Notamacropus eugenii: one gene and its partners. The protein of the gene in region 1 purifies or fractionates together with the protein of each later gene. This does not show direct contact. Links are inferred from orthologs where the notes say so. Each region holds a gene or a part of one and is shown on either strand. Other genes may lie near its edges.

Region 1 (7,602 bases):
CTTGTTTCTATTAATTTCTTACCTCTGTACCTGTGGTCAAATCTCTCCCACTCTCTGGGCCTCAGTTTCCTCATCTGTAAATATGGGCATATTTGCATGATTGGGGCAGCTAGGTGGTGCAGTGGATAGAGCACCAGTGCAAGAGTCAGGAGGACCTGAGTTCAAATCTCACTTCAGACACTTGACACTCACTAGCTGTGTGATCTTGGGCAAGTCACAACCCCAATTGCCTCATCCTGGGTCATCTCCAGTCATCCTGATGAATATCTGGTCACTGGATTCAGATATCTGGAGGAGAAATGAAGCTGGTGACCTGCTCAGCCCTCCCTCACTCAAAACAAAGTGAAGTGCAAGTCAGGTCATCATTTTTCTGATGGCATGGTCTTCTTCGGCAACGAAGAACAAACACACATGTCATCTAAACCAGTGACGAGTCAAGAGAGTGGTTTGCAACTGGGGGGTACCCCCAATTTTCTAGCTGTGTATGCTGTGGTGAGTCATCTCTGCCTTCTCAACTGGCTTTTGACTTTTGAGACTTGGAGCAGCTCTTGGCACATAGTTGGTGCTTAAAAGAAACTTAATAAACTGGCAGCCCCCTTTTAACTACATTCTGTGACACACTTATTAGGTAGGAGAGGATGGGAAAAATAGGTACAAATGGGGAAATCGTGTCAGAGAAGGGAAGGATGGCTAACACCAAAGTAGGAAGAGCATGAGAGCTGGCTGATAAGGAAACTGAGGCATGAGAGGGCGGACTGGGCCACTGCAGTCTCCTGGGTGATGTAAGTCACTCCCTGGGGTGGGGGCCGCTGGGGGTGGAGGCGCCAGGCTATTTCAGGAAGTTGTCACCAGGCAACGCAGATGCTGCTGGGAGGGTGGTGGTAGTGGGGGGGGGGGGGGCCGGAGGAAAGGATGTCGTCACCTTCAGGAGGGGGCTGGGACCCTGCAGGGTGGAGACTTTGGTTTCCACAAATTCTCAGTCCCCACTGAAGAGTGGACTTGCTCATTGGTCCTGATCCCAGCCCCAAGGGATCCCCTCAGCCTGTCCCTGAGACGGTGGGAGATGGAGGGTGAGGTGGCCCCTTTACAATTTTAGCCTTCTCCTCTGACCCTAGAGAAACCGGCTCCCTTCATCCTTTCATTGAGTTCTCCACCCTCTTCAATGAGTACAATATCCTGGTAATTAAGCCTTTCCACCCTCTTCATTGGTCCCCAAGCCCATACTCATCCTGCCCCCAGCCCCCATCTCCTATCCATCTCCAAGGAACGGACCCTTCATCTTCCCTGGTCCCTATCTCCACTTAGCACTCCTCTCCTCACTGCCTGCACCTCCAGCCCTTATGGAACCTCTTCTGGCTTCCCCATCTCCTCTCCTAGAACCAAGTATCCTTTTGAACGGAGTCGCTCTTCCGAGCCCTTTAAATACACCTTTGTCCTGTCTCCCTTGTCCGAGCACCCCCTCCTCACTGAGCCCCTAACCCTGGTCCAAGCACCCCCTCCTCACTGAGCCCTTAACCCTGGTCCAAGCACCCCGTCCGCACTGCGCACCCCCTCCTCACTGAGCCCCTAACCCTGGTCCAAGCACCCCGTCCGCACTGAGCACCCCCTCCTCACTGAGCCCCTAACCCTGGTCCAAGCACCCCGTCCTCACTGAGCCCCTAACCCTGGTCCAAGCACCCCGTCCTCACTGAGCACCCCCTCCTCACTGAGCCCCTAACCCTGGTCCAAGCACCCCGTCCGCACTGAGCACCCCCTCCTCACTGAGCCCCTAACCCTGGTCCAAGCACCCCGTCCGCACTGAGCACCCCCTCCTCACTGAGCCCCTAACCCTGGTCCAAGCACCCCGTCCGCACTGAGCACCCCCTCCTCACTGAACCCCTAACCCTGGTCCAAGCACCCCCTCCTCACTGAGCACCCCCTCCTCACTGAGCCCCTAACCCTCGTCCAAGCACCCCGTCCGCACTGAGCACCCCCTCCTCACTGAGCCCCTAACCCTGGTCCAAGCACCCCGTCCGCACTGAGCACCCCCTCCTCACTGAGCCCCTAACCCTGGTCCAAGCACCCCGTCCGCACTGAGCACCCCCTCCTCACTGAACCCCTAACCCTGGTCCAAGCACCCCCTCCTCACTGAGCACCCCCTCCTCACTGAGCCCCTAACCCTCGTCCAAGCACCCCGTCCGCACTGAGCACCCCCTCCTCACTGAGCCCCTAACCCTGGTCCAAGCACCCCGTCCGCACTGAGCCCCTAACCCTGGTCCAAGCACCCCGTCCGCACTGAGCACCCCGTCCGCACTGAGCACCCCCTCCTCACTGAGCCCCTAACCCTGGTCCAAGCACCCCGTCCGCACTGAGCACCTCCTCCTCACTGAGCACCCCCTCCTCACTGAACCCCTAACCCTGGTCCAAGCACCCCCTCCTCACTGAGCACCCCCTCCTCACTGAGCCCCTAACCCTCGTCCAAGCACCCCGTCCGCACTGAGCACCCCCTCCTCACTGAGCCCCTAACCCTGGTCCAAGCACCCCGTCCGCACTGAGCCCCTAACCCTGGTCCAAGCACCCCGTCCGCACTGAGCCCCTAACCCTGGTCCAAGCACCCCGTCCGCACTGAGCCCCTAACCCTGGTCCAAGCACCCCGTCCTCACTGAGCACCCCCTCCTCACTGAGCCCCTAACCCTGGTCCAAGCACCCCGTCCGCACTGAGCACCCCGTCCGCACTGAGCACCCCCTCCTCACTGAGCCCCTAACCCTGGTCCAAGCACCCCGTCCGCACTGAGCACCCCCTCCTCACTGAACCCCTAACCCTGGTCCAAGCACCCCGTCCGCACTGAGCACCCTCTCCTCACTGAGCCCCTAACCCTGGTCCAAGCACCCCGTCCGCACTGAGCACCCCCTCCTCACTGAGCCCCTTTCCCCTTTAAAGGATCTGCCCCCGCCCCTGCCCTGCTAAGAACTGTAGCAGAATGCTCACGCAGCGGCCCCGCCCCCTCCCGGACAACCTTGGGTAACGGCAACTCACAGTGGGCCTCTCCCCGCTCCCGTCCCGCCCCTAGAGGGGCGGAGCCTTCAGAAGGAGCCGCGTGGCCCACTTCGGAACATGCGCATACTTTTTTCTGGTTGACGTCCGACAGGGGGCAGTGCAGCTTGCCCAGGCTGGGAACTACAACTCCCAGCAGCACAAATTTCAGCTTTGGACTTTGATTTTTTACGTCCGCTACCAACAGTCTCGCTGGAAAATTACAGATTTCTTCAATGCCCCTGCTATCCATTAGGAACGCCACCTCCATAAGCGTGGAGACCTACAAATCCCAGAACATCTGGCTCCGAACTGAGCTCTCTGGATGCTTACTCGACCCTAGCCTACTGTCCGCTCAGGGAGAACTACAAATACCAGAAACCTGTAGGACGAGGTGGGCGTCGGGTCAGGCTGGCACCCACGTGAGGACTCCAATAGCCAGAATTCACTGGGGTTAGGAAGTGCTGAAAGTTTCTAGCTTTTCCGGAGACTCAGGTAAAGGTATACTACAGAACTTCATTTCCTCTCAGCATCGAGAGTGAGTGTTGGTGTACGTGCATCCGTATGCATGAGAGGAAGAATGAGAAGAGTCAACTTCCCAGTATTCCATGGGTGCGCGGGGAGGAATGAAAACGAAGCACGGGGGAGGAAAACGGGGACTGCATTTCCCAGCATTCCTTAGGGGTGGGGGAGGAGCTGAAGACTAGAGCGTTCCTTTTCTCGGCGGTCGTTGCGCGAGGGCGTTGGTTCCCAGCTCTTATCGGTTAAAGGAAGACTCCACTTCCCAGAATGCTTTGTTATTCGCTGACCCCTCCCCCCTACGAGGGTGGGTCCATGACGTATACTCGAGCGCCTTCATCATACAACCTGCAATGACTCCACTGCTTCCCCTTTCTTTGCAACTAATTACCAAAGAAGAGAGGAGGCGGGGAGCGATGTAGATGTCCTTTCTCTTCGCGGCCGGCATCTCCTCACTTTTTTTCTCAGGGTCTTCTTTGGGCCCGTAATTTGACAGGAGGAGGGGGTGGAGGTGATCTCGAACTCCATCTCCCACGATCCTCTGTGGCTTTAGGTGCCTAAATGTTGCAATGAATTATATTTCCGCGACTTCGCCGTCGCGGTCCGTGACGTAAGACAAGACAGTTGGGAGTTTCTGGGAGGGGACTACTTGTCCCGGCATTCCTTGGGGCTCCCAAAGCTCTTCAGGGAGCCGAACTCTTTAGGCGTCTTCAGCGCCCTCGGCTCACCCAGCACATCGAGAGGGCGCATGTACGCTGTTTCCCAGGATTTCCTAGGCTTCTCTGTTGGGCCAGCTCCCCGAGAGCGCGTGGAGACTGCATCTCCCGACATCCTTCAGGGCCCGATCTTCGGAGCCCATGACGTTGCTTCTGTGGTGGAGCGAGGACTCCATTTCCCAGTGCGCTCCGCGGGGTCAGGCCGGCGGTGTGAGCGTGCGCGAACTGCATTTCCCGGCGAGCCCCGCGGCGCGGAGCCGGAGCCGGAGCCGCAGCCGCAGCCGGAGCCGGAGCCGGAGGCCGGAGCGGCCGCGGCCTGGAGCGGAGCCGGACCCCAGCCCAGCCCGGCCCGGCCGGGGCCCCGGGGAGCAGCGCGGCGGCGTCTGAGGCGCCATGAGCGGCGGAGCCCCGGGGGGCGGCGGCGGCGGCGGCAGTAGTGACAGCATCTCGGGCCGGGCCCGGACCAGCTCGTTCGGAGAGCCAGGGCCGGCGGGACCCGGGCCGGGGCCGGGCGGAAGCGGATCAGGCCCCGGACCCACCGTCGGACCCACCGTCTCCAAGGCCGGCGGTCCGGACCCGGGCCGGGGTCCGGCCCCGCCAGCCTCGGGTGCGGGCCCCGGCCCGGGTCCTGCCCCCGGCCCCATTCCTCCCGGTCCCGGCCCCGGCGGCTCGGGTACCGGCGGCGGTGCGGGGGCCGTGAACGTGGCCTTGCCTTCGGGCCCCGGAGGCGGCGGAGGCGGCGGAGGTTCGAGCTTCCCACCACCCGCCGTGAAGCTGGGCCGTGAGTAGGGGCGGGGGCTTCCCCTGCCCTCCTTCTTCCCCACAGCCCCCTCCCGCGCTCGGGGCCACCCCGTACTTGGCCCGGGGTCCCGGGGTCGCGACCCCCCGGCACACCCTGCCCCTCTGCAGGGCTTGGGGAGGGGCGGGCGGGCAGCCACCGGCCAAGGAACCCCAGCCCTGGGGAGGCACCGGGCCGGGGTGCCCCACTTTCCATAACGGAGAGTGGTCCTGGGGGTCACGGAGTCCTCTTCTTCCCCCTAATCCCCCGCAGGTACCACTAAGGGGGCTGAAGCTGTAGAGGTCAAAAGTCACCAGCCAGAAGTCTTGTCTCAGCCTTTCCCCCCCAACAGTAAGGTGGCCCTAGGGACTGGAGGTTAAAGGTCAGGGGCCCTTCCTCTTTCCCGGACTGAGGAGGGATGCTGAGATCAGCTCCTCATCTCCCCCTTACACAGACCCCAGGAAGGGCAGAGGGACTGGACCCAGAGGCTGAATGTGACCTCCCCTACCCCTTCTCCAGCCCCCCAGCAGGGAGTCCCCACATTTCTCTTCTCCAGGTGACACTGGGAAAGTGACCACGGTGATGGCGACCTTGGGGCAGGGGCCCGAGCGCTCCCAGGAAGTGGCCTACACGGACATCAAGGTGATCGGCAACGGCTCCTTCGGTGTCGTCTATCAGGCCCGCCTGGCCGAGACTGGGGAGCTGGTGGCCATCAAGAAGGTGCTGCAGGACAAGAGATTCAAGGTACTGAGTGCTGCAGTGCGCATGTCTGGACCCACACCCTAGAGATCAGGGAGGGCACCGGGCAGATCTGAGAGCCCCAACACAGTCAGGCCAAGGACTGGTGTGCTGTGGGCTTGGACTTAGTGACAACAAAGGGAGGTGGGCTAGGGCTAGGCTGGGATTCTCTTGGGCACCCCGCTCAAATCCTACTCCCCACTGAGAGAGACCAGAATGCAGAGGAAAGTGTTTGGAGGCTGGAGCCTGGTGAGGACAGGGGACTGTGTCTAGAGGAGCAGGAGATCCAGGCTCCAGGAGCACCCAGGCTGGGGGCGGGGCTCTGGGCTGCCAAGGGGTGGGGTTGGGAGGGCAGGACCTGCAGAGGTGGTGAACTGAAGGTCGAGGTCCTCCAAAGGAGGGCTGGCTTCTGCCTAACATGTTCTAGGGGATCCAAGAGGTCAGGCCTGAGGAGAAGGAGGGAAAGAGGGACAAGAGACAGGGGTGGGGGTTGGTGAGAGGAGACGAGGGCAGGATCAGGGTTCTAGAGCAGCTAGGGAGCCCAGGAAAGAGATGGAGAACTGGAGAGGAAGGCGGGACTCCTCTGACCCTTGACTGGTACAAGAGAGAGCTGAGACCTGGGAGGCGTTGAATCAGGGTTTGGAAAGGGGACCAGAAGAGAAGGGAGAGCAGGTTTTTGGATTGGCTCAGAGGGGCCGACCCCAGGGCAGCTCTGGTGTCAGGGGTCATGAGTGGCCAGATCCAAGCAGGGATGAGGCTGGGATCTGGGCCCCAGGGGGAGAGGCAGTCCAGAGGCAAGACTCAATTCTGGGGCCCAGGAAGGGCATGGTACCACCCCAGAAAGGAAAGGGAGAAGGGGTGGGGACGCGGTTGGCCTGAGCTCCCGTTGGGAGAACAAGGGCTTTGGTGCTTGAGAAGGAGGAGACTGGAAAGAGTGGGGAATTGGGAAGAGACAGTTTGACCTAGTGGAAAGAGAGGTGAATCTGACCTGAGAAGACCCAGATTCAAGTGCTGTTTGGGCCTCTGTGTGTGTGTGGCTTTGGATGAGTCACTTGTCTTTGGGCCTCAGGGAGGGAGCTGGGCTGGCTGCCTTTAGCTCTGGGTCACAGGCCTATAACCTCTAAGATTCTTTCCCTTGCTAAACCCTGTAATTTCTGGTATTTGGGGAGGGGGGAAGTGGGCATCAGAGGAGAGGCTTCATGGAATATGGGGGTCCTGTGGTGGGCCTGAGAGGGAAGGAGGGAGATGGGAGCTGAGCCAGGTATAAGTTGGGGCCCAGAAGGGAGCAGGAGCTCTGGTGTCTCAGGGACAGGGGAGGAAAGGTCTGAGGCAAGGTCCCAGGGAGGAAATGCAGGTTGGGCAAGAGTGGGCCAAGACCACAAAAGAAGACAAGTCTGGGAGGGGGAAGACAGGGGCTCCACTGCCCCCTGCCCCCAGGCTCAGCTCTGCCTTCTTTCCCCAGAATCGGGAGCTGCAGATCATGAGGAAGCTGGACCATTGCAACATTGTACGGCTTCGCTATTTCTTTTACTCCAGTGGAGAAAAGGTGAGTGAGGCCTAGAGGCCAAGCAGCTCCTCCCTTCTGGCACCTCTGGCTCTGGGGAGCGCCCGGGCCCCCTCCTCACCCTCTTTCTCTTTCCTCATGGCAGAAGGACGAGCTTTACCTGAATCTGGTGCTGGATTTTGTGCCTGAGACCGTTTACCGGGTGGCACGGCACTTCACCAAGGCCAAGCTGACCATCCCATCCATCTATGTCAAGGTGGGATTTGGCCCCAGCTTGTCCTGGCTGCAAAACCCTGGGGGGGGGGGGTCCCACTCTCTCAGTCATGGGGTGGGG
Region 2 (8,102 bases), on another chromosome or scaffold:
ATTAAAAGAAAGTTTTACCTTAAACCAGAGGGAGTTTGTGCAGGGAGTCAGTCAGGAGTTTGCAGGGGCTCCCAATCCAGAGAAGGATGCTCTTTGCTCAGCTTCAAGAGCTGCTTGCAGCTGTCAACACCTGGGCTGACGGACTTCAGAGCTGGTTGGTGTCCAGGCTTGGTGGAAGCAGTTTTGTACTCACGCCCACCACTGTCAGGCAGTGGGAAAGAGAGGGGGGTGCCTCAGATATAGCTCAGCTTTCTCCCCTCAGTCCCATCCTGTACACCCTTCCAATACTCAGACCCCTTTAGGCTTTGGGAGGGTCTCCAGGTCTAGGGCGTGCTAGGGTGTGCTCTCCAGGCCCTGACTAAAGCCTGGTTTTCCAGGGGGAAGTTTCTGTTTGTTCTTCTTTTCCTTCTTCTTTTTTTCTATTGAGAGAAATCATCAGTTAAAGACAGATTCCCTGGGGCAGGGGCAGACTGCCGAATTCCAAAAGGTTTTCATAAGGGCCATCTGCCGTGGTCAGCAGCTGGCGACAGGCAGAGAGAGGGAGAGGGAGAACGAGAAGGAAGCAGAGAAAAACAAGAGCCCTTCTGTTCCCTCCCACTGCTGCTAGAGAGGATGAGGACTCTTGTGCCTCTCTGGTGAGAGCTGGGAAGAGCAAGGGGGGAGGAGCAGTAGAGGGAGGGGACCACGTGCTGCCCACCCAGCCTTCGGGGAACAGCCTGGGAGCTTTCTGGTGTGCTACTTGCGATTGACTCATTTCTTGCCAATGTGTATTTTGGCGTTTTCCCCCCCATGTTCCCTCCTTGTACTCTTAGCCCCTGTTCTCCTTTCCTGAGCCCTTGCTGTGTCATTTTTCAGCCCAAACAAACTGGTTGAGCTCTCCTTATACAACCTTACACCAAGTGGTAACTGAGAAGACAGTACAAACAGTCCAAGACTCCTGAGTTCCGCATCTTTGGCCGTTTCCCCACTCCTCTCACCCCCATTAATTACCAACTTGGGAGCATCAAAGAAGGAGTAGGGTTTGAGAGAGGGAAATAAAAAGATGGATAAGCAAATGAAAACAACTGAAGGAGCAATACATTAACTTTGCCTCAGACACTACCACGGAGTAAGAAGGGTAGGATGAAGGTAATGGGGATCTGTGAGAAGTGACAAGGACATAGGAATTCCATTTCTAAACTCTGAGGGGACCCCAGATTCAACTGAACAATCATTAACTAGCCCTATGAGCTGGGCACCGTGCTAGGTGCTACATATACAAAGTTTTCAAAAGAAGCCTTGAAAGGGCAAGTGATGTGTTAGAGTGGCAAGAAGTCCCATAGGATCATGTAAAATTGAGAGCTGGAATGTCCCCATAGATACCTCAGACTCAACATTTCCAAAACAAGACCCAATATTTTTCCCTTCTAACCTACCCTTATTTCCAGACTTCCCAATTTCAAAAATGAAAGTCTCTGACTTCAAGAAAGTCACATTCTACCCAGTGATACAACATGTGTACAGATAAGTATGTAGCAATAGAGTGTATCAGTCAATCAACAAGCATTTTTTTAAGAGCCTATGTATGCTAGGGCCAGGCATTACTACTAGGTGCTGTGGGTACAAACAAAAGAGTGAAACATTTCCTATACTCAAGGAATTTACATTTTGCTGGGAGAAACAAGTACACCCAGAAGTATATGTGAAATAAACATAAAGAAAAGAAATACAATATTGTTAAATACAAAGTAGCTTGGGAGGGGAGGATGCTGGCACTTGAGATCAGGAAATGCTAAAATGTAGCAGATAGAACTTGAACTTATCTTGAAGGAAGAGAGCAATTCCAAGGCAGAGCTGAAATGGAGGTACATTTTTATGAGGAGTAGCCAGTACAAAGGCAGAGATATGAGAGATGGAATGTATTATACAAGGAAGAAAGAGAAAGTGAGTTTAGCTGCATCAGTGTGGGAAGGGGAGAAAAATGTCTAAGGAGGCTAGAAAGACAAGTTGAGACAAGGTTGCAAAAGGATTTTAAAAGCTAAATAGTGAAGTTTATATTAGATCCTGGAATCAGGAGGCAACCATTAGAATTTATTTAATAGGGAATAACATGGTGACATTTGTGCTGAAAGAAAATCACTTTGGCAGTTGTGTGGAGGTTGGACTGGAGAAAGACTTCAGGCAGGCAGATCAATCAGGAGGCCTTTGCAATAACCTAGGCAGAGGTAAAGAGGGCCTAAACCAAGCTGGGCACAATAGAAATAGAAGGGATCCAAAGTGAGAAATGATATGGAGGTAGACACAGCAAGACTTGGCAGCTGAGTAGATGTGGAGGATAAAAGAGAGTTAGGAATTGAGGACAATTCAAAGGTTTCTGGGAGTCTGGAAGAATGCTGGTATCTTCTATAGAAATAGGAAAGTCTAGTTTTGGGAAGAAAGATATTTAGTTTCTGTTTTGCATATGTTAAATTTAAAATATTTCTGGGACATCAAGTTTGAAATTCCTAGTTGGTCCTTAGTGATGCTCAGAGGAAAGGCTAGAGCTGGATATACACATCTGAGTCATCTGCATAAAGATGATAGTTAAACTTCATGGGAATTAAGATGGGCACTGAGAGAGTATGTACATAGAAAAGAGAAGAGGACCCAGGACAAAACTATGTTCACCCCAGCAGTTAGGGAGCATGATAAGAATGATGAACCAGAGAAGGAATCTGAGAAGTGGTCAGAGAGGTAGGAGGAAAACTGGGAGAGATCATTGTGATGAAATCTAGAAAAGAGAGGGTATAGTATCAAGTTAACAGTGTTTAATGCTTCAGGGAGGTGAAGGAGGTTGAGGACTGAGAATCATATTTGGCAGTTGAAATACTTGATAAATATGGACAGAACAGTTTCATTTGATTGAAGAAGTTGGAAGCCGGATTGTGAAGGGTTAAAAAGTGAGTGAGAAAAAGGGAGGCAACCAGTAGAAAAGTTATTTCCAGGAGTTTGGCTAAAAAGGAAAGGAGAGTTTTAGGATGATAGCTAGAGGGAAAGATAGGGTCTAGTGAAGGGTTTTGGATTTTTTTTAAGCCTAACATCAAGAGCCTCTGCTGAGTCTGAGAAATTGAGGCACTATGTCCACTACCTTCTCCACTAAGGTGTCCCCTCTCTCTGCTCTGGACACATGCCCATGGTCCAGATCAGGTTCAGTCTTGAGGGAATGTGATTACCAAGAAGAAAGGATAGGATATTTTTTCTTATAATCTTTAGCTCAGTTAGCTCCTACCTTGGCAATCTATGAACAAATTATTTAAAACTTGGGTTTTGGCTCATTTATATATTCCCCAAGGGGGGAAATAGGAAGTTATTCCATGTACAATAAAAATCAAGTATGGGACATGTATTTCTACATAGAAAAGAAATGCTAAAAGATACAAAAGACTCTCAGCAGACATGGACAATAACTAAGGAATTGGTAACATATCTTCTATTTCATTCTGCCAGGAAGTTAAGCCATAGACATCAGAATATGAAGCAGTTTGCAGAACCATTAGAACTGTCATTGCAGATCAGTCATTCCACATTTTACTTCAGCTTCACATTCTCTTTCAAAGCCCATCTTTTTTGTTAGGTTAGGAGTTTGAACTCCTTCCCCTGATGATGGTGCCCTCTCTGAGGCAAGAACTTCTCCTGTCAATAAGGAAGGTCTTCATGGTGAACCCAGGACCTCTGAATCTCTCAAACTCACAAACTCTGAGGAAATCACTTAACCTCACTCAACTTCACTTTGTTGTGGTTCAGTCTTGTCCAACTGTCCTCGACCCCATTTTGGTGCTTTCTTGCAAAGATTCTTCTCCAGCTCATTTGACAAAGGAGGAACTAAGGCAAACAGGGTTAAGTGACTTGCCCAGGGTCACACAGTTAGCATCTGAGTCCAGTTTTGAACTCATGATGGTGAGTCTTCCTTATTCCAGTGCCTCTCAGCTGCCTTCAACTTTACTCATCAGAGTCAATGTGAAGATCAAACAAGAAAACTAAAATAAATGAATGAAGTGCTTTGCAAACCTTAAGGCACTGTAAAAATTCTAGCTAGGGATTTATCTTGGATGCCTGATCACCTAACAAGGAAGAGAAATTCAGAAGAGAATAGATGGTGGGGGCGTGGCTCAGATGCAATCTCGTCTAGTTGAGACCCCAACTCTAGTCTCTCTGACTTCCTTCAAGGCTCAGCTAAAGCCTCACCTTCCACCAGAAGTCCTTCCTAATCCCCCTGAATGCAGGTGCTCATGCATCTCTCCTACATCGGATATACAGGCTATGTTTCCTGCATGTACAGTATCTTGTTTGGACGTAACTCTTTACTTATTGTCCGGATTATGAGAGCTGCAGGAGCTGTCGTTTGCCTATCTTGTATCCCCAGAGCTTGACAGAGCGCCTGGCACAGTGCTAGTTGACTGACTGACTGACTGACTGAGAGGTGCCTCCCCCCTTAGCAGAAAACCTCAGGTTTTTGTTTGTTTTGTTTTTTAATGCCACCTGGAGGGTAGAAGGAAGAAATCAAACCGGAAGCCGTCTCTTTAACCAATGCGCCAATTCCACGTCTTGGAAATTCGAGTGATCAAAATGTTCTAGGATTTTTGGAGAAGGGTGGTCATTTCCTTCTCTTGGAATAAGGACTCCCCCAGAAAACCCAAGGAAGGTGTTTGCTATGTAGCACACAAGCCGACTGTCTCTGATGCTTTGTGAACCAGAACTGTGTGAACAGGCTTGAACTCAGTAGAAAAGGACAGAAGTCAAAGTTTGGGTTTTTGTGGCATTTGCAAACATCCACTAAGTATTCTCTTCGGAAATGAATCCCCTTTATCTTCTCTCACGACTTCAACGTTTCCTCAGGCCCAACGGACTACATTTCCCAGCAAACCTTGCGCCAACCCGGGATGCATTCCTGCCTCCGGAAACCGTTCTGTGGGCGGGACCAAGGAAGAGGCGGCTCAGGACGTGGCGAGAAACGAGTGTGTCTCCACCCTCTGAAGGGCGGGGTGACGTCGGGCGACGAGAGCGGACCGATGACGTTCCCCCTCTTCGGGCATGGGGCGGGGTCGGTACGCGGTGCGTGCGAGCCCCGCCCCCTTTCCTCCCCAAGGCTCGCGCCTCTGGCCGGCTGCCTGTGGCCTGCGGGCTCGGGGCGGGGCGCGTCGTGGGCAGCTGGAGGGGCTGCTCTGCTGGGCTGCGGAGGAGGTTGTGCTGAGCCGTTCCCGCTGGAGCTCGGTCATGGAGCGCTTCTTGCAAGGCTGCCGGGCCGCCGTGCAGGTAACGGAGTCGGGGCCCTTTCCGTGAGGGTGGGACGGGGCGGGGCGGGGAGGTGAAGTGAGGTGAGGAAGGGGACCCCGACCTCCGCCCGTGAGATCCTTCCCGCCCCGGCGGGTGCCAGGCTGGCTGTCACAGGCGCCCCTCCCCCCGGGGCCGAGCCGGGGCTTCTCGGGGTTCCCCGCCCCGCCCCCTCCCCCCGGGTAACTGACGGCTCACCCAGGCTGGCTTCTGCCGGCTCTCCTGAGGGCCATGGGGCGGAGGCCCGGGCGCCCGGGCTCTCCCCTTGGCACAGTTTGGTCACGTTCTAGAGAACAGGCCGTTGTGGTCTCAGTCTCTGGGCTAAACATATACTTTGTCACCCGCGCGGCTCTGCACGCACACCACATGGTGTCCTGCCCCCGTGTTTTCTCTCCTTTAGGCACCCACACTTAATCATAATTCCCTGCCGTCTGAATGTGTAAACATGAATAATCCTGGACGCGACTATTGTGAATGTTAGCTTGTCTTCGGTCTTCTCTGAATACGCTATGCGTGACCCATTCCTGGTCAGTGGTGAAGTATGCCTAGGCTGATGGTCATAGCTATAATACTAACAAGTGGCATCAGATTGACCTGTAAGCTTTGCAGAAGCCTTTATCTCATGAGATCCCACACCAGCTCTGTCAGTTTAGTGCTACAGGTGTTACTATCCCCATTTGACAGTGAGACCCAGAGAGGTGTGGTGTGGTGTGACTCGAATAAATGAAAACGAATGACAAAACATATTAAGTGCTTACAATGTGCTAAATATTGGGAATATAAAGATTGAGACACTCCCTGCTCTTAAGGAACTGAAAAGAACACATATGCAGGTTTTCCCGACTTCAAATCCACTATATCCACTACATGGTGTTATCTCTTTAAGAAGTTTGCTAGGAAAAAAGATTCTCCTAGGTCATATTAGCATATTTCATTTCTAAGTCAGATTATACCTAAAACAACTTAGGGGTTAGTTGACTCTCGTTTTCCTTTAAAAAAAATCTCCTGATTTTATAATTTTCTTGTATTCAACGAAATTTAAACAGATATTAAATGTGTACTCTATTTTTGGATAATAAATGATAGTGTCTTACAATATCCCTGATAGGTGAGAATCAGCTAGTGTTCACTTTTGTAGATTCAGCCATTTATTCCTTTTTAAAACAAATTTTTATTGATATCTTTTTGCTTATTACAACATTAGAATTTCTCCTAGTATTATACCTCTCTCCACTGTTTCCCAGAGAGTCGTTCTATATAAAAATTATTTTTATAAAGGAAAAAAAAGAAAGAGGAAAAAGAGAAAAAAACCAGCAAAACCAAATAATATATTGGGAAAAGTCAGAAAATATATACAATATTCTATACCTGTGGACCTACTGCTTCTGCAAGGGAGTGGTGTGAGGGGTTATCTTCTCATATCTCTCCTTCAGTGCCATCCCTGTTCTTTATAATTTTGCAAAATTCACTTTTGATCATTTTGTGGTTCTTTACATTTACGTTGTTGTAGTCCTTTCAGTATTGTTTTCTTGGCTCTGCTTATTATACTCTGTATCAGATCCCATAAAGCTTTCCAGTCTTCTCTATATTCATCATATTCTTTATTTCTTACAGCATAATATAGTAATACTCCATTACATTCTTGTACTTTGGTTTGTTTAGCTAGTCCCCAGTCAATGGGCATCTACTTTGTTTCCTATTCTTTTCAGCCATTTATTCTTTGACTTCGGGTAATTGAAGTACTTGCCCTAGGAGTAGGGGTAAATTTTAAAACCAATTATATTTTAAATTTTAAAATAAATTTAAATGTTTTATTATGTTTAATATCATGTATTTAATATATTAATATCTAACCATGTGTCATTTTATTATATGAATAATTAATATTTAAAATTTAGAACCAGTTATACGAAGCTTTTCCTTATAAACAAAATTTGGGATATCTCTAAGGATCTTCTGCTTCTAAAATTCTGTAATTCATGTTATAAGTAAGAAAAAATGTAACTACTTAACAGTTAAAATATTGCTCCTAATGAGGTTTAATAATCAGTCCTAGAGAAATAGTTTTCAAACTTTTATGGACTGAAGTAGGGAAGAAAGAAAATGGACATGAAATTTCTGTGCAGGTTAGGGTCTTCTAGACTTTAAGTTGTGTACAGAATACTGTAGCCTCCAAGAGCAATCCAACTTTGTGACTTTTTATTTTGTTTAGGTGAAGTAAAGGGATAATTCAGGTGTCCAAAGGAGACCATCCAGGATGATGAAGGGCCTCAAGTCCATGACATGAGGATCTGTTGGAAGAATTAGGCTCATTTAGCCTAAAGAAAAGAAGATGGAGGAGGCGTGTGTGTGTGTGTGTGTGTGTGTATGTATAAGACGGAGTAGTTATCTTCAAATATTTGAGGGCTGCTATGTGGAGAAGGTATTAGACTTGTTTAACCTGGCCACCTTCCCCAAATAGCAGAGTGGAAGTTGCAAAGGGGCCAATTTAAAACAGCTCTAGCTATTCATATGGAATGGGCTGACCTATCGTCCCCTTCCTTAGAGAGCTGTTCAAGTAGAGGTTTTTTTATATGTGCTTTGGACTAGATGGTCAACTCTCAAATTGGTTGACTAAGGAGTGATAAATACATTCAGTTCAACAAACATTTGCTAAATATTATTAGGTTGTATTATAAAGTATTTAGCATCATTCGTTCTATTCAACACAGAGAAGGATGGGGAAATAGTAATATAGGAGGAATGAATGAAAGGAATAGTGTCAGAAGGATATATTTTAGACAAGAAACAGTGATGAAGACAAAGGTTCATGT
Region 3 (7,083 bases), on another chromosome or scaffold:
AAAGTGTCAGATGTCTATTACCAGTGTACTTAAAGTGCATGGTTGAAGCGGATTTGAATGATATTTCAGTCTCTTATTACTGTGTGTTGTTTTAATAAATGGGGGTAGGGAGTTCCTAGGATTTGATCTTAATATTGAGCTAGCCCTAAAAGTAGTTACAGGATGCATTTATCCCATCCTTTTACAGAATGCTGAGGAACACAGGCTGTCACACATAATCCATGCTGACGTGTTTTCATCCCCATGGAAATCTGCTGGTTAGGCTGCCTTTGGCACAAAGGAAGACAGAAAATAAAAAAACCAACTTTATTTAACATAGATACTTCAGTAAAGTTAGAATCCTGTAAATCAGGACCACCACAATTTCAGACACTCCGCTGCGAAGTGTATGTGTGTGAGGATATGTACAGGCACACATCCACATACATCAACAGCCACATCTGGATGATGACCAAGCCATTGAAATTTCAAATAACAACAAAGATTGGAGCCACTGTAAAGGAAAATGTTTGCCGATCTTCTACATAGAGGGCAACATTTTCAGAATACTGAATTCACTCAAAAAAGTGAGGGATGAGATGGAGAGAGGAGAAAACAAATCCCCTTTCATTCAGAGATGTTGCAGGAGATACCACAAAAAGCCTCAGAGACAAACACATTTAAATGGGCCTCTTTCCCTTGATGCCGGGACCCCTACTCAGAACCTGCTAAAGTATAAACAAGAAAGGAAGAACATCCTGGAAAGAAAGGAAACCTTAGTGACCTGCAGTATTATGACAGGTACTAAGGCATCTTCCTCCCTGGTCAAAAAAGGCCCAAGAAGGGTCAACACACAAGCCTGTGGACATGTGCACATGTTTACACACACATGCACACAGTTTTCCCTCCCAACCAGTAGAACAAAGTGTATGTCCCCAGGAGACTCTTAACAGTTTCAAAACACAGGACTCCCTTGGAGAAGGTGCTGAATATACAGTTACTCCCTTGCCCAGAAAGACACAGCACCATGTGTGGAAAACCAGAATCCTGCAAGGACCAATTTTCGAAAGCCCCTCTAGACAGGCAGACTGTGGAGCCAAGAATTCTTCCTTCCCCAGGAACAAATCCTTCCCCTTCTCATTCCCTACCATGACCTGGTGGGAGTATTCCTCAGTTAAGCCTTAGAAACATCAGGCTGTTGCAATGTAAGGGTAGAAGTAGGAGGTTGGCAGGTAATCACTTTAAGCCACCCCACCCAAGCTTTACTCAAGTTCCTTCTTCTCACATTTAATGAAGTTGATTGTGTTCTAGCAGTAGGAACCCACAACTCAGAACTAAATCTAGTCTGGAAAATGCTATCAAGTTTTCAGTCAGGTGAAGTCACTGCATTTCTTCTCCCTGCTCTCAAATCCTTCTCTCCATTCCCACTCCACCCTCTCCCCTCCCCCCGCAAAAAACATGAGTCAAAGAAAACTACCAGTAGTGAAAACAAACTGGGTCAAGTCAAAGCAGGTAACTGGAATAATTCTCTGTTCTGAGTTCATGGTTAGCTCAGTAGGATAGAACATGTGCGAAGGAGGCCAAGATGGAAGGTGCAACTCCTATTAAAAGGCCAGTTAATATTGCACAGAGGAAAAAACAACAACTCTGTTCCAAAGGCACCCGTAGAGGTGGCCAGTTAAGGAATCCTGAAAAAGGTGTGCTGTTGGTCACATGGCAACCAGGCTAAGGTGCTGTGGATGGCTCAGTGCAAGTCAGCACCACTCATGACAAGTGAAAAAGAGGATCTTCTACTGACGCTCTTAGGTCAGTAGTGCAGTCTGTCAATACACAGGATCTATTCATCCTAATTAGATCAGGGGTTCTAATTCTCGGCCCAACCCCCCACAAACCACCCAAGTCCACAGCCTCTACATCACCCTTCCCCACTCCAGAACCTCGAAAAAAGTTCCCCCATCTTTCCCCTTTGCCTTCGAACCCCCGTTCCCCACTCCAAGTTCATTCATGTCAAGTCTCCAGGCCTTAGGCTTTCGGGTTCTTCCCCTGCCTTCTTCTTGCCCTTGAACGCGCTGGGCTCACTAGCTGCTGGGGACCAAGATGCCATCTGCACGTCTGGGCACCAGCTGGCTCCGGAGGCCCTCGGGGTTGGAGCAGGCTGGTCGCCGAGGACTACAGTGAGCTAGAGTCCCTTCTGCCTCAGCCTCCCGAACAGCCAGGGGCCACGGTGGAGCGGGGCCGGGCGCTGGGGGCAAGGGGGCCCTAGCCCCAGGGTGCTGCCTAGGGCGCCGGGAATGCAGTCGCCGCACGGCCTCCTTGATGAGGTTCCCCGAGAGGACAAGCTGCTGCAGAAGCTGGTGGGGGTCGTCGTCTCCCGCACGGAGGCCCGGCGGCCCTCGGGACCGGTGCTGGGGCTGCTGCTGCTGCAGGCGCCGGGAGGCGGCGGCGCCCCGAAGCCAGGCGCGTCGGCACGGGCCCGGCAGCGGCTGCGGGAAGCCCCGCTTGCAGACGTGCGGGCCACAGGCGCCGCTCCGGCCCGGGGCCCCCCCCGCCACGCAGGGGCCCGGCGGCGCCCGCGCCGGGGGCTGCGACGCGGCGCCCCCCTCGCTCGCCCAGCACAGGGCGGCGCGGGCCCCGCTGCCCGCGCACTGCGGCGGCCCCGGAGGCTGCGGGGGCGCCGGGGCCGGCCCCGGAGGCAGCAGCAGCTGCAGGACCGGCGGCCCCCGGGGGGCGGCCCGGCTCCCGTGCGCCGCGTCCAGCTGCAGCGCCTCTCCGATCTGGGCCACCAGCCGGTCCACGTCCCCCGAGCCCCCGACGGTCACCGACTGCCGCAGCACCAGGAAGCTCTCCTCCTCCTCCCCCTCCCCCGCGGCGTCCTCCTCCTCCTCCTCCTCTCCGGCCGCCGCCGCCTCGTCGTCCTCGTCCTCCTCCTCCCTCCGGCACGGCATGGCCTCGCTCCGCAGCCCGGGCTCCGCAGCTCCGCCGCCGCCGCTGGGGCCGCTCCTCGCTCCCCGCTCCCGGCCCGGCCCCGGGGACGGCTCCCGAAGACCAGGCGCCGCGCTCTCGCCCCGAGCCGGCCGCGTGCGGGGCCCCGAGCGCTGCAGCCGCCGCCGCCGCCGCCGCCGCTCCGGGAACTGGAGCTCAGCCGGTTCAGTTCGATTTGTAAACAATGGGTGACGCGGGGCGTTCGGGCGCTACCACTGCCGCGGGGCGGGGGGGCGCGGGGAGGGTCGAGCGGGGCGGCCCGGAGAGGCCCGGGAGGGCGCGCGGCGGGAGCTGGGCCGGGCGCCGATGCGGGGCCGTGCGTGTGCTGCGCCCGCCTGGCCCGGGGCGATGGAGCCCTCGCGGGCGCGAACCTGGGCAGCTCCAGCGCAGACCCAGACACGCGCCGCCACCTCGTGCCCACTCAGCTTGGACTCGCCCGGCTCCTTCCCTCGGCCTCTCGTGGGGGTCGCGGGCTCAGGGGTGGGATGGCTGCCTCTGGGTTTGGGGTTTTTGCGTAAAGTGGAGGAGGGGAAATTCGGGGTGTTGGGCGGAGGAAGGGACGAGGCGGGAGAAGGAGGCCGGCAGAGCCGAGGGAAGGAAAGGGGGCAGCGTGGGGCCGGTGGTCACTGTGCCACCTGCTGTCCCCACGCCCCGGGGGACCAGACGGCGGGCATCTGGAGGCGAGCTTGGCCCCGGCCAGAGCGAGGGCAGGGTTCCTGCGGGCCGAGGGGCGGCGAGCAGGAGCGGGGAGGCGTGCGGGGGGCGGGGAGTCGGGCCTCAGTTATTCCTGCGGCGGTCAGCCCGCCCCGGGCTCCAGACCCGCGTCTGTCTGCTGAGAGGCTCCCTTGGAGGTCGTCGCCACGATCGGGGTGTGGAGCGATGAGAATGTCTGGGAGTAACCTGAGGACCGCGGGACCAAAGATGAAGGAGGGTCGGGAGAGACTTTTAGGAGGCGGAGAAGGTCGTTTCCCAGCATTTCAGCCCCCCACTATGTGGAAGGGTAAACTAAGGTCCAGAGAGCCCAAGTGACCTGTCAGGGGCTGCACGCAGGCCCCCCAGCTTCAAATCCAATGATCTTTTGGGGGGAGGGGTAAGATTACAGTTGGGTTGGATTTAGGATTTGAATTTGGAAAGAGCATTGGTCTTGGAATCAGGAAGATTCATCATCTTCCTTCGTTTAAATCTGGCCTCATGGGCACTTACTAGCTGTGTGACCCTGGGCAAGTCACTTAACCTTGTTTCCTCAGTTTCTTCATCTGTAAAATAAGCTAAAGAAGGAAATGGTAAATCACTCCAGGACCTTTGCCAAGAAAACTCAGCTGTATCATGCAGTTAGGGATAAAAGATAACGTCCCTTTTCTCCCCTATCCTGGTTCAGGTCTTCATCACTTCTAGTCTCCACTAATATAATAAGCTCCTTAATTGACATCCTTGCTTCGGATCTTTCCCCTCCACATCATTCCTTTCTCCATACAACTGCTAAATTGATATTGCCAAAATATGGGTCTGACCATGAGGATCAAAAATAAAATACTCATCTTGAAACAATAATGAAAGTCAGGAAATATGATGTTAAAAGAATTAGAAAAAGAAAGTCAACCAGTCAAGTCAGAAGTTACAGAACCATAGCTCAAAAAAATTAAAATAGAAAAAACTAAAAAAGAACAGACAATGACATCAGCCATATGTAGTCTATATGACAGGAGAGTTATAAGCGTAGAGCGATAAATGATAGATGAGCCAGAGAGTTACACAGAACAAATAGCAAATCCAGGAGGTGAAATAATTATTGACAGTTATGGAAATGGTACTACTAAGAATGAATAAATACATGACAGCATATGACCTAATCATAGAAAAGGGAAAGACAATCAGAGACTTAGAAAACACAAAACTATTCAAGATATTCAGACTAATTAGAACCCCAAGGAAGTCACACGTGCTATAATACGTGCATTAAATAAGCAGCGAGGCAAAAGAAATACCATTCTACTTCAAGGTCCAGCAAGCACAGGAAAGAGTCTCATTGCACAAAAAATACTGAGCTAGTTGATAGTGTTGGATGCTACAATCCATCCAATGTTAACTTTCCTTTCAGTGACTACTACAACAAAAACATAATTTGGATAGAAGAAGTTGGTAACCTGGGACAAGAAGTAAACCAATTTAAAGCCATAATGGCAGGACAGAGCATAAGACTAGATCAGAAAGGAAAAGGTAGTAAATCAATTGAACTAGATCCAGTCATAATGACATCAAATGAAGATATTACTTGTGTCAGAATTGAATGTGAAATTAGACCTGAGCACTCAGAGCCAATAAAACACATATGTGTTGACAGAAAGCTAACCAAAACTCTGGATGGTAGGTTTTGTATAATTGATTCAAAGGAAATTGCAAATATATTCAAAACTCTTAAAGATGAGGGCTTCTATCCAACTATAAGGTCATACATAGATCACTGGAATGATGTGCCTATGTGAACAGAAACTGAGAGGAGTCAGAAGAAGATATAAAAACAGACAACAAAGCAGAAGACTCCACAGAAACTAGGCTCATCGGCTGGGAATTCTTGAACAGGCATTGGCAGAAAAGAGTCAAATCAGCCTCTAATTCCACTGCACAACATACTGAAAAATCAGATGCCAGCTCATCAACCAATATATCAAGTGATCAAGGTCAAGAACAAGGAGAAATTACCTTCTCAGGGGAGACAACCTTTCATCTGGGACCTTGATTACTAGTGGCTTACATCAGAAATGGAACAGGACAATATGTAAATGCCAAACATCAACTGACCAAGACAAGGTAAGTCAAAGAACTCATATCATGCTACTTGCCAAGAGCATCAACCATCAACTAATATGTAACTCTGACTTACAGGATATACCCTGCCAGGGTACAAATACGTTGAACCTGGAATACTCTTGACCAGGAACAACCAACCAATCCAAGTGTTCAAGCTACCAAGGAACATGATGAGCACTATCATCTTATGCAACAATTGGGCAATAACCCTTCCTTCTACTTCAGCAAAGCTGATGCTAAATTTATCTAGCAGACAGAACACACAAAAGACTGGGGAGGCTAGATTGCAAACAAGGCATTTAAATTGAAGAAGGCAATAGCACCAGAACTGGCACCACCAAACAAAAAGCAAAAAACCAACTAACTGTAAGTAAAAAAAGACCAATTCCAAAACATGTTTTCATAAACTTAGCCAAAAAAAGAAGAGTATTTAGTTGGTCAGCAAAAGAAAATATGAGTGACTCACAAGACTCATCAGAAGTGGACTCATCCATGTTAACAGAAGAACCAGGCAAAAGAACCATGGGAGGAGATGGGGGGATGGGTTGGGAGGTCCACAGGAAATTATAATAACACAACTGAATGGAAATTTGAAGGGGAATGGGTTACAAATAACATGCAGTGCATCTAGACATATCATCCTAAAAGAGGCAGAAAATCAAGAATACATACTACAGATCTCAAAACCTAAAACAGTTGCAGGACAAACTGCCTATGATGGTTGGATTGACTACCAACATGCACAAATACTAGCATGGTGGTTCCTGTTAGATACAAATGCATGGGGAGTATGGATGAGTCCAGCAGACTTTGCACACATGGCTTGGATATGCAAAACCATAGAATTAATTGACCTAAAACAAGAAATATTCAACACTAGCATAAAGACAGTCATAGAAATAACAACAACTCCACCACAAACTCAGTACACCAATGACCTCACAGCAACCATGCTAATTGCAGAGGATTCCAATAACATATTTACTTTGTCTTGTGAGGGAACATTACTGAGCACATTAGGTTACAAACCTTGGCAAACGAACCAGTTAGAACAATTTGGCTACTTCTTTAACAGATTTAATGACTTTTATAACGCAACTGCCACAACAGGCTTTACAGGAAAAATGGAGATTCCTCATTATGGAAACATGTTTCTCACATTTGAAAACAGCATACCAATAGAAATGGTAAGAACAGAAGATAGTTGGTATTCAGTACAGTAGAAATTCAAAGCAGATGCAGTCAGTCTAAGAAGAAACATTCAATATAACAGAAAACTAGGCAAGGCACTAAGAATAACACCTAACTTTAATG

Evidence for each region. The genes of interacting proteins can lie anywhere in the genome.
Region 2: the proteins of GSK3A (region 1) and PRUNE1 purify together in Homo sapiens (affinity purification with mass spectrometry; 3 studies listed by BioGRID and IntAct, with this or other methods). This does not show direct contact. The link is inferred for Notamacropus eugenii from reciprocal best matches to the Homo sapiens genes GSK3A and PRUNE1.
Region 3: the proteins of GSK3A (region 1) and FRAT1 purify together in Homo sapiens (affinity purification with mass spectrometry; 4 studies listed by BioGRID and IntAct, with this or other methods). This does not show direct contact. The link is inferred for Notamacropus eugenii from reciprocal best matches to the Homo sapiens genes GSK3A and FRAT1.

Annotation. Positions count from the first base shown.
Region 1 is NC_092876.1:26,014,856-26,022,457, reverse strand, and holds the start of GSK3A (glycogen synthase kinase-3 alpha), read left to right. Parts: upstream 1-4,516; 5' UTR 4,517-4,641; coding exon 4,642-5,029; intron 5,030-5,299; coding exon 5,300-5,377; intron 5,378-5,582; coding exon 5,583-5,770; intron 5,771-7,226; coding exon 7,227-7,310; intron 7,311-7,413; coding exon 7,414-7,524; intron 7,525-7,602. UniProt on the Homo sapiens protein: Constitutively active protein kinase that acts as a negative regulator in the hormonal control of glucose homeostasis, Wnt signaling and regulation of transcription factors and microtubules, by phosphorylating and inactivating glycogen synthase (GYS1 or GYS2), CTNNB1/beta-catenin, APC and AXIN1.
Region 2 is NC_092873.1:304,856,953-304,865,054, forward strand, and holds the start of PRUNE1 (exopolyphosphatase PRUNE1), read left to right. Parts: upstream 1-5,034; 5' UTR 5,035-5,049; coding exon 5,050-5,271; intron 5,272-5,712; exon of another isoform or gene 5,713-5,798; coding exon of another isoform or gene 5,799-5,816; intron 5,817-8,102. UniProt on the Homo sapiens protein: Phosphodiesterase (PDE) that has higher activity toward cAMP than cGMP, as substrate. Plays a role in cell proliferation, migration and differentiation, and acts as a negative regulator of NME1. Plays a role in the regulation of neurogenesis.
Region 3 is NC_092872.1:214,099,649-214,106,731, reverse strand, and holds FRAT1 (proto-oncogene FRAT1), read right to left. Parts: upstream 3,069-7,083; 5' UTR 2,925-3,068; coding exon 2,058-2,924; 3' UTR 293-2,057; downstream 1-292. UniProt on the Homo sapiens protein: Positively regulates the Wnt signaling pathway by stabilizing beta-catenin through the association with GSK-3. May play a role in tumor progression and collaborate with PIM1 and MYC in lymphomagenesis.